Linked DNA regions of Oryzias latipes. The protein of the gene in region 1 binds, or shares a complex with, the protein of each later gene. Links are inferred from orthologs where the notes say so. Each region holds a gene or a part of one and is shown on either strand. Other genes may lie near its edges. The genes, in order: ercc2 and polr2d.

Region 1 (4,319 bases):
CTTGTGAGAAACTTGCTGCTTTTAGACTCAAATACGGAACTTTTTTTTAGAAAAAAAAAGAGAAAATTCTGTGTTTAAATATCCATGTTCCCAACATTGAAATGCTGTAAATATATCTCTGTAAATCTTTGAATTAAAGGATTCTGATGAAAACAACACGGTGTGACGAGTTTCACGCATAACAAAACATTAAGAACAAAAAAAAAATAACAGCAGCATCAGAATCAACAACAGCAGTAAAATGTTCATGCAGTGAAAATCTAAATATAGTCTGTGACTTTATTTTGAAATCCTGCAATAGGACCAGTCAGCCTAATTGAGGTGAGTTTCAGCTATTTTTCCAACTAAAACCAATCGGTGCACATTTTATGGACAAAGGATGTCATAAACATGTGGAAGTTGAGCACAAATCTTCATGACTTTGTTAAATGTTCATTTAAATTCTTGGAAAATAATAGAAAAGGTGTCAGTAGTTGCTCTGTAAATCGCTTTTATTAGATTAACAGAATCACACTTTATTTTATTTACATTTTGGTTTTTGCAACAAAATGGGATTAATATAAGAAATGGACTTTAATGCTGATGAAATACCGCCCTCTGATGGCCGTAGTGTAAAGCTGCAGTTTTGAAATAAAAAGCAGTGAAATAAACACATTAGGGCCCGAGCAGAGGGATTGCAAGGACTCTATGGTTTTTAAAATGTTTATTATTATTCCGAGTAAAGACTCGCCTATTTGAGGCTTAAAAAACTAACCAATTTTTGCACACGTCTCAGAAGTTGCGAAAATGTATTAGAATAAATGAATGTATTACGTGGTAGACCGGCACGGGTGCATAAAAATGGCTCGATAGATTTATCTCAAATGCACACAGACAGGCGCACACAAGACTTGCATAACCAAAATTGTTGAACAGGGGTGTAAAAACAGCACCCATCCCCACATTAGTGTAAAAATATTCATCAGAGTTAAAAACTGATGCCTAACTTTGAATTCTGAATTCAATGGCGTGCTTATTTTTTTCATTTAAGGAAAGATGACAAAAAAAGAGAAACTTCTTTTTCAATTTAAAAACAGAACATTAGAACCAAATAATCTCCTGTAATCATCTTCGTATTTTAGATTTTTAACACAATTTTTCGACTTATATTTGTCGATTAAAATACAAGACTAATATTTGAAAAAGAATGAAATTCTGAAATTAAAAGAAAAAATCAAAACATTGAGGGGTCTGACGTCACATTTTCTAACGCTGGTTGAAGTTTGAGCAGGAGCTGAACATTGTTGCCCTCTGCTGGGGAAAATGCACATTACAGGCAAAGAGACTTTTTTTCGTATGTTTCACAGAGGGGCTTTATTTAGTATGGAAGCATTTCTGTTGCATAATTCAAAAATAAAAGCATTTCTGGTTTTGACTTTTGTTTTTGAATTGTGCAACAGAAATGCTTCCATAAAAGAATGCCTTTTGCATGTGACTCTTCTTAATGTTCCTGCAGTTCTTCTTCCTGCCTGCAGGTGGTAGAGCGTTTAGAAACGCCGGCAACAACAACAACAGTAGAAGAAGAAGAAGTCGTTAACATTTTGGTGTTCTCTGTGTAGTTATCCTAAATCTGTTCACTTTAAAAGGACCAATCTGTCGTAAATCAAAGACGAAAGTTTTTGGAAAGTTTCTCTTTAGAAGATGAAGTGAGTTCTTTTGTTACTGTGACGTAAACAAAAAGTCTAAACCAGCACGTGTTGATGCTAATGCTAATGTTTGGTTTGTGTTGACAGAGCTAGCAAAGAAAAGTTTTTCGTCTGTTAAAGTGTTTGCGTGTGTCTGCATTGGGCTGTTTTATTCAGTCTGTTTGCTGTTTGGTCGCAGGTTGAACATAGAAGGTCTGCTGGTGTATTTTCCGTATGATTACATCTATCCGGAGCAGTACTCCTACATGCTGGAGCTGAAGAGGACCCTGGACGCAAAGGTGGGCTTCTTTCACTCGGGTGTTAGATGGGTTTCTGGGAAATGTAGTGCGGTAATTTCATAAACCAGGAAAACTCACTGGAGACGGTGAAGTGACTGTGTTGTGTCTGCGTTTCAGGGTCATGGAGTACTGGAGATGCCTTCAGGAACAGGGAAGACCATCTCCCTGCTGTCCCTCATTGTGGCCTATCAGAAGGTGAGTCCAGCTCTGCACCTTCTGAGCCTTCATGGCGACAGCTGCTCTAAGCTTTATTTGATTCTCAGGCGTTCCCGCTGGATGTGACCAAGTTAATCTACTGCTCCAGGACAGTTCCTGAGATCGAGAAGGTGAGTCTGACCCCTCCGCAGCCAACGACGAGCAAATCTCCAGGAGCTTTTCAAGTCCTCCGCTCATCTAGGTCGTGGAGGAGCTGAGGAAGCTGATGGAGTTTTACGCTAAAGAAACCGGAGAAGTCAACAACTTCCTGGCTCTGGCGCTGTCTTCCAGGAAAAATCTCTGCATCCATCCTGAGGTAAAAACCCTGAAAGCTGAGGGTTTCCGTGCTTTCTGGAAATGTTGATCAAACAGGAAGCTCCCTCGTCCATCAGGTGAGCTCTCTGCGCTTTGGGAAGGAGGTAGACGGGAAGTGCCACAGCCTGACGGCGTCCTACATCCGGGCTCAGCGCCACAGCAACCCCGACCAGCCTGTCTGCCGCTTCTACGAGGTAGAAAATCGCCTCAGCTTACGGGAAATCGGACCGCATGAACGTCAACGTGGCTGAAGCTCTGCGAATGTTGGGTTTGTGTCTCAGGAGTTTGACGCCGTCGGTCGGCAGGTTCCCCTTCCTGCCGGCATCTACAACCTGGACGACCTGAAGGACTTTGGCAGACGAAAAGGCTGGTGTCCTTATTACCTGGCTCGGTATTCGGTATGTAACCAAGCAGAGGCGCTCAGCACGTGCCTGACCTTTAACCCTTTCAGGGACTGAATGGATCTGGAGAATGTTTTCCTTTGTGTCCATTTAACCAATTCCAATTAAAATCCAGATCAAAGCAGCCCAACTGCGCAGCTGCAGCTGCAGCTGCAGTCAGGTTGCTCAGACACCTGTCAGTCCGTTTCTGTAAAGGACTGGAGGATTTTTCATCAACGACTGTTAATCTGTTCGATCTAAGTCCAAACTTTGACGTGGTCGTCACAGAAACTTGATGTTTGATCCATTCAGCAAACCTCATGCTGCCGCAGAGCTCTGGAGCTTCAGATGGACTTTCTTCTTCGAGATTTTCCCTGAAGAAGTTAAAATTTATGAAGTAGTCGGTGAAGATGAAAAGCTGCCCCTGACCATCACACAACCACCCCCATGCTTGACTTCTCTTCTGATGTCCTTAGTTTGACCACAGCTTCCAAGAAACGTCATGACAAAGAGTCATGACCTCTGACCTGAACCAAGTCATGTGACCTTCTCTCTGCCTTCTGCTTCTATATGGCTGTGTTCTTGAGAAAGTTAAAAACGTCACTATTTACCAAAGAAAATAATCCAAACTCATGTTTAGTTTGTGATTTTTAATGACTGTTGGCATTAACTTCATGTTTTTTTTTTCTATTTAAAATCTCATTTTTCTGTCCTAAGATTCTTCACGCCAACATTGTGGTGTACAGCTACCACTACCTCCTAGACCCAAAGATCGCAGATCTGGTGTCCAAAGAGCTCGCCAAGAAATCGGTGGTCGTGTTCGATGAAGCTCATAACATCGGTAAACCGTCTCTCTTTAGTTTGTTTCATTTTTCTTTTCTTCCCCTTCATCTTTTTTTGTCCGCTTCGTTCCTCAGACAACGTTTGCATCGACTCCATGAGCGTGAACATCACCAGGAGGACTCTGGACCGCTGTCAGAGCAACGTGGAAACACTTCAGCACACCATCCAGAAGTGAGACGCAGCCCAGTCTGCTTTTATCCACACCAGGACGAAAAACATCTGGAGTTTTCTGCGTTAAAACCCCCAAAAATTTGAGCTGTAAAACCCTAATGGCACCAGGAATTGTGGGTAATGGAGTTTCTGTTTGTCATTAACCATAAATCAGACTCATCCATATTAAAAAAAAAAAAAAGCTCAATTATGAAAGGAAATCAAATTCAAATGTTGATTCTGAAAACATCAGAGCTTGGAGTCAAAACTGTTTTTTTTCTTATTTCTATAAACATCTTTGGGTGGAAAAATAAGACGCTTCTGTTTGATCCAAACTGAATTAAAGAGAAAAATCCTGAAGTTTCCTGCCTCTAGGTTCAAGGATTTTTTCTTCATCCTGGAAGTGTCGGTTAATCAGCTGGTCCTCCATATGGAGAAATAAAAGCAAATAGGCGTGTTTTTATTACCATAAT
Region 2 (4,488 bases), on another chromosome or scaffold:
AAGGGCCCACTGAAGAACAACTGTGTCTGGAATTTACAAAGACATATCTTCCATGCCCCCATAGTCCTGAGCAGGACTACGGGGGCATGGAGTCCATTCCAGTTACTTCAGGGCATAAACAACATAACTCTAAGCACTTTACTAGACCATCAGAAGTCTATTCAAACTTCTTAAGGGACAATTTTAGAGTAGAGTACCTAATTTACCAATAAAACATGCTTTGAACCCCTTCAGGAACCTGAAGGTCTTGGAAAAAACAATGGACACACAAAATGTAAAAACCTCACACACATTCCAACCCTACCGTTCTGAAATTTGAATCACCACGCCACCTGGTGGAGTTGCAGGAGATTACAAAAGGTGAGAAAATAATAGTTGCTACAGATTCATTCTCAAGTTTACAGAGTTTCAGAAGTGTTTGCTACCAGTGTAGCTGTGAAAAAAAACGTGTGGCAACTTCAGGTGGAGTATAAAGACTAAAGTAAGACTAAATAAATAAATAAATAAAGTAAGACTAAATAAAGTCTGCATATGACCTTATGACCTGCAAGGAGCAGGTAGAGAAGCATCTAGAGAGGAATAAAGACCAGTCACAGCAAGATAATGTACCTACATGGAAATACAAGAAGCAATTGAAACTGTTGAAAACTAATAATGCGGATAAAGAACATTTTTAGTTATAAAATAAAGGTTTGTATTTTAAAGGTCACATGGTTAAAAAAAATACAAATTTTATATGATATAAATAACACTGACAAACATATCAGTAAGAAATTCAAAAGAGAGGGGAAAAGATGAATAAAGTTAAAATGAATATCAGGGACCAAAAATCTCAGCAGGTCTATGCTATGGCGAGCTCACATGGTCTTTTATTATTGAACACTACAAATGTTAAGTTAGGAACCTGTAAACATAAATGTAAAACAGTTAGAACATTTAGAACAAAAAATGAGATAGATCATCAAATAAAGACACAAGAAAGCAAAACAAAGACAGAGTCAACTAAAAAACACCTAAATATGAAGAGTTTTGATATAATTTAATGCCTTTAAAAAAGTTGAAACATTTTCTTGCTTTTTTACTTTTCATGAATTAAACAAATCTACTTAAGAAACACATTAAACAGTGGTTTGGTTTTTAATAATTTACTTTTATGAATATAAAATTTGCTTTTGATTGTTAAAATATTTTAAACTAAATTTAACAGACTGTTATGTGAAATTACACCAAAAAGAATGTTGTTCTTTTTTAATGAGACTTGAACAGAGGAATTTGAACACCACAAATGAAACTCATCCCCAAAAAGATTCAAAGTACATGCAATCAACAAGCAATTTCAACACAAAAATACAATTGTTTTCTTTAAATCTTTAACTTTAACATTTATTTACAAGGAAATAAATTATTTATTACAAGGGCATATATGACTGAACAGTTCTATCGTTGTGTTTGAGGGGAGTTCCTACACTTCATCTTCCAGGACAGTAGGTAGCAGAAGCGCACCATTATTGCTAGATGACACCCGCCTAAACCAGAAGAAAGCAGAGGAAGAATATCACCGGAAGTAGATCGGTGTTGTGACCGGAAGTTCCCCGAGCGCCGTTGTTCTCTGCACAGTTAACGTTCTCACCGTAGTCTCCGAGAGAAGCTGACGGAGCTCATCGGTACTGCGCGCCTCTGCGACCCGTGACTGTGACTCGACATGACTGCCGCTGGAAGCTCGGTTTCCTCGCACGTGGGAGACGTCGAAGAAGACGCGTCACAGTTGCTGTTTCCCAAAGGTGGCGCGCACAAATACTGTTTACTTCCGAAACTTTTTGTTAGGTTACAGTGTAACCTGTATTGGAAACAATTACGTTGCTATATGTGACCGATGAGGATAATCATCCCCTGATTATTAATTTATGTAAGCTGCATCACCGATTTGAATCTGAATATTTTCATTATACGACCATCATCATCTGTACTGGTTAAATGTTTCTCTCACTGACACACATGTATTGTGATCATCATGATGTTTGGTCCACTGATCAAGATAGAATTATTTGTTTGTTTGCTGAGAGTAAACTATAAGTTTAAATTTACATGGATTGCTGTCCTGGAAGGTCTGAGACTCAACAAGCTTCCTAAAATAGTACAGGCTGACTTTGATCAGCAGGATTTTTGTCCTACTTCTTGAAACAGGCCTTAAATTCCAGTCCACAATCACTGCAGGAATCCTTCTGTCTTTCAATCAAAATGGTTCTGGAGCTGATATTCTGTAGAATCTGAGCTCAAATTCAGTGACTAACCAGCCCCCTCCTGCTGTCTGCAGAGTTTGAGAACTCTGAGACGCTGCTGAACTCGGAGGTCCACATGCTGCTGGAGCACAGGAAGCAGCAGAACGAGAGCGCCGAGGACGAACAGGAGTTGTCCGAGGTCTTCATGAAGACTCTCAACTACACGGCCCGCTTCAGCCGCTTCAAGAACCGCGAGACCATCACTGCCGTGCGCAGGTAAGGATGCCCCTTCTGGTCCCAGGTCCTGGCCCTGATCTGGGTCCTAATGGCCTTTCTGTCTGTCTCAGTCTCCTCCTGCAGAAGAAGCTCCATAAATTTGAGCTGGCCAGTTTGGCGAATCTGTGTCCTGAAGCTGCAGAGGAGGCTAAAGCTCTGACCCCCAGGTGAGTCTGGACTGAACCGGACTTGTTCTTTTCACCCATAAATTACAGGGTCTTCGTTAACCAATCTGTGAAAAGATTCACCTGACATCAGATTATTCTGAACACCTTAGTGATTTTAGGATTTTTGGGAGGCTTGACTTTTTATTTTATTTTAACACTTTCAGTAAATTGAGTAAAAGTATAAGTTAGTCTGGATGCCAAGGAGATTTATTTAGTAATGTCGAAGTAACACTATTTTACATTAAGGGCAGACGTGTGCAGCTTTAATTGAATTAATTCAAAGAGAAAACCTGAGAGATTATCCTAAACTGGATCAGAAAACATTTTGGATCAATTCATCACAGACATGTAGTTTTATGCTGTTCTTACTTGTCAGGAATTGGTTTCTTGTTGAAATTATTATGCATTAAAAAATAGCAGATAAGTTATTTTAGATTGTTTAGTGATCATTATTTTTGTGAAAATATACAGTGGTGGACAAAATTGTTGGTACCCATCAGTTATAGAAACAAATTCCAGAATTCTCACTAAAATGACTTGAAATGTTCAAAAGTAACAATAAATTAAAATTTAATGAAAATGAAATAATCAAAATCAGCTTTTTAATTTGTTGATTGACAGAATTATTTAAAAAAAAAAAAAAGCTAATGAAATAGGGTTGGCCAAAAATGATGGTACCTCCATAACAGACTGAGAACTAATTGCCCAGGGGGTCATGATGAACTCAGGTATGTCCTTAAATTGACATCATAGCTGTCTTCAAACTCATAATCAGTCAGTCTGTCAACAATTTTGTCCACCACTGTATCTTACTGAGATATGGATCGTTTTGCAGGTGATGTTGTTACAATTCTTATCAAATAATTCATCGTTGAGAGAATAAAGTTCTGCCGGGTTCTGCTTCTTTTCTCAGTCTGGAGGGTCGCTTTGAGGATGAAGAGCTGCAACAGATCCTGGATGACATTCAGACCAAGAGGAGCTTCCAGTACTAAGACCAGGACCAGCAGCTGGACCTGAGACCTCCAGAACTCTCCTTAACAGAGGCAGCGTGGTTCACGTTCCACCGGGACCAGAAAAATCACAGAACATTTAATCCACCCACCACCCAGCAGAATCTTGATGTACTTTAAAGGCACACAAGATGCTGTTTGTGTGTCTGATTCTATCCGGTCTGTGGAAAATCCAGCACATGTTGATAAGAAAACTGTATCTGTGCTCTGCTCCTTCGGGTACCTATGGGCAGAAACTCAAATCCATCATCAGTGAGCTTATCCCGAACACCGCCCACTCGTACTGCCAGCTCAGACCTGCAAGACCACCTTCGAGTCAGAGTCCACGCAAAATTGATTCCCAACAGAACCTTCTTGTCCCAGGAGAACCCCTTTTAGTGCTTTTGTGTGGTTGTCTGTCCAAACCGCTTATTAGGAGCGGAACAGGGAACTGGATTTATTGTGTTGATTGAAAATAAAAATTTAAAAAAACTACACCAAGGAACAACCAAGCAAAGTTTGTAAAGCTCTTTTAACAAAAAGAATCACAAAGTGAGAAGGAGAGCCGGTGGACCATAGGGACAGAGGCAGGGAGGGATCTCATCAAATCTTCCAATCTTTATTACAGCTAAAGGGTAGGTAGGTGGTGAAACAGGAAAAGATGCAGCAAATGAATCACAGGTGCTGTCATTCCCTTCTCCACCAAGGATTCCTAGATGGATTGCTGTCCATTAAAAAAAAAAAGTTATATACACAATATAAATTAAAAAATGTAAAGACGTGATATAGCATCAGTATTAGCATTGGCCCCAGGGACACAGCAGGGAGAGAATTGGG

The links.
Region 2: ercc2 (region 1) and polr2d share a complex: the UniProt entries of both Homo sapiens proteins name them as parts of the TBP-based Pol II pre-initiation complex. The link is inferred for Oryzias latipes from reciprocal best matches to the Homo sapiens genes ERCC2 and POLR2D.

Annotation. Positions count from the first base shown.
Region 1 is NC_019871.2:4,134,362-4,138,680, forward strand, and holds the start of ercc2 (general transcription and DNA repair factor IIH helicase subunit XPD), read left to right. Parts: upstream 1-1,509; 5' UTR 1,510-1,680; coding exon 1,681-1,685; intron 1,686-1,863; coding exon 1,864-1,963; intron 1,964-2,080; coding exon 2,081-2,158; intron 2,159-2,226; coding exon 2,227-2,289; intron 2,290-2,360; coding exon 2,361-2,474; intron 2,475-2,550; coding exon 2,551-2,667; intron 2,668-2,754; coding exon 2,755-2,871; intron 2,872-3,570; coding exon 3,571-3,694; intron 3,695-3,770; coding exon 3,771-3,867; intron 3,868-4,319. UniProt on the Homo sapiens protein: ATP-dependent 5'-3' DNA helicase. Component of the general transcription and DNA repair factor IIH (TFIIH) core complex, not absolutely essential for minimal transcription in vitro.
Region 2 is NC_019878.2:10,414,402-10,418,889, reverse strand, and holds polr2d (DNA-directed RNA polymerase II subunit RPB4), read left to right. Parts: upstream 1-1,566; 5' UTR 1,567-1,702; coding exon 1,703-1,781; intron 1,782-2,314; coding exon 2,315-2,495; intron 2,496-2,566; coding exon 2,567-2,662; intron 2,663-3,575; coding exon 3,576-3,654; 3' UTR 3,655-4,159; downstream 4,160-4,488. UniProt on the Homo sapiens protein: Core component of RNA polymerase II (Pol II), a DNA-dependent RNA polymerase which synthesizes mRNA precursors and many functional non-coding RNAs using the four ribonucleoside triphosphates as substrates.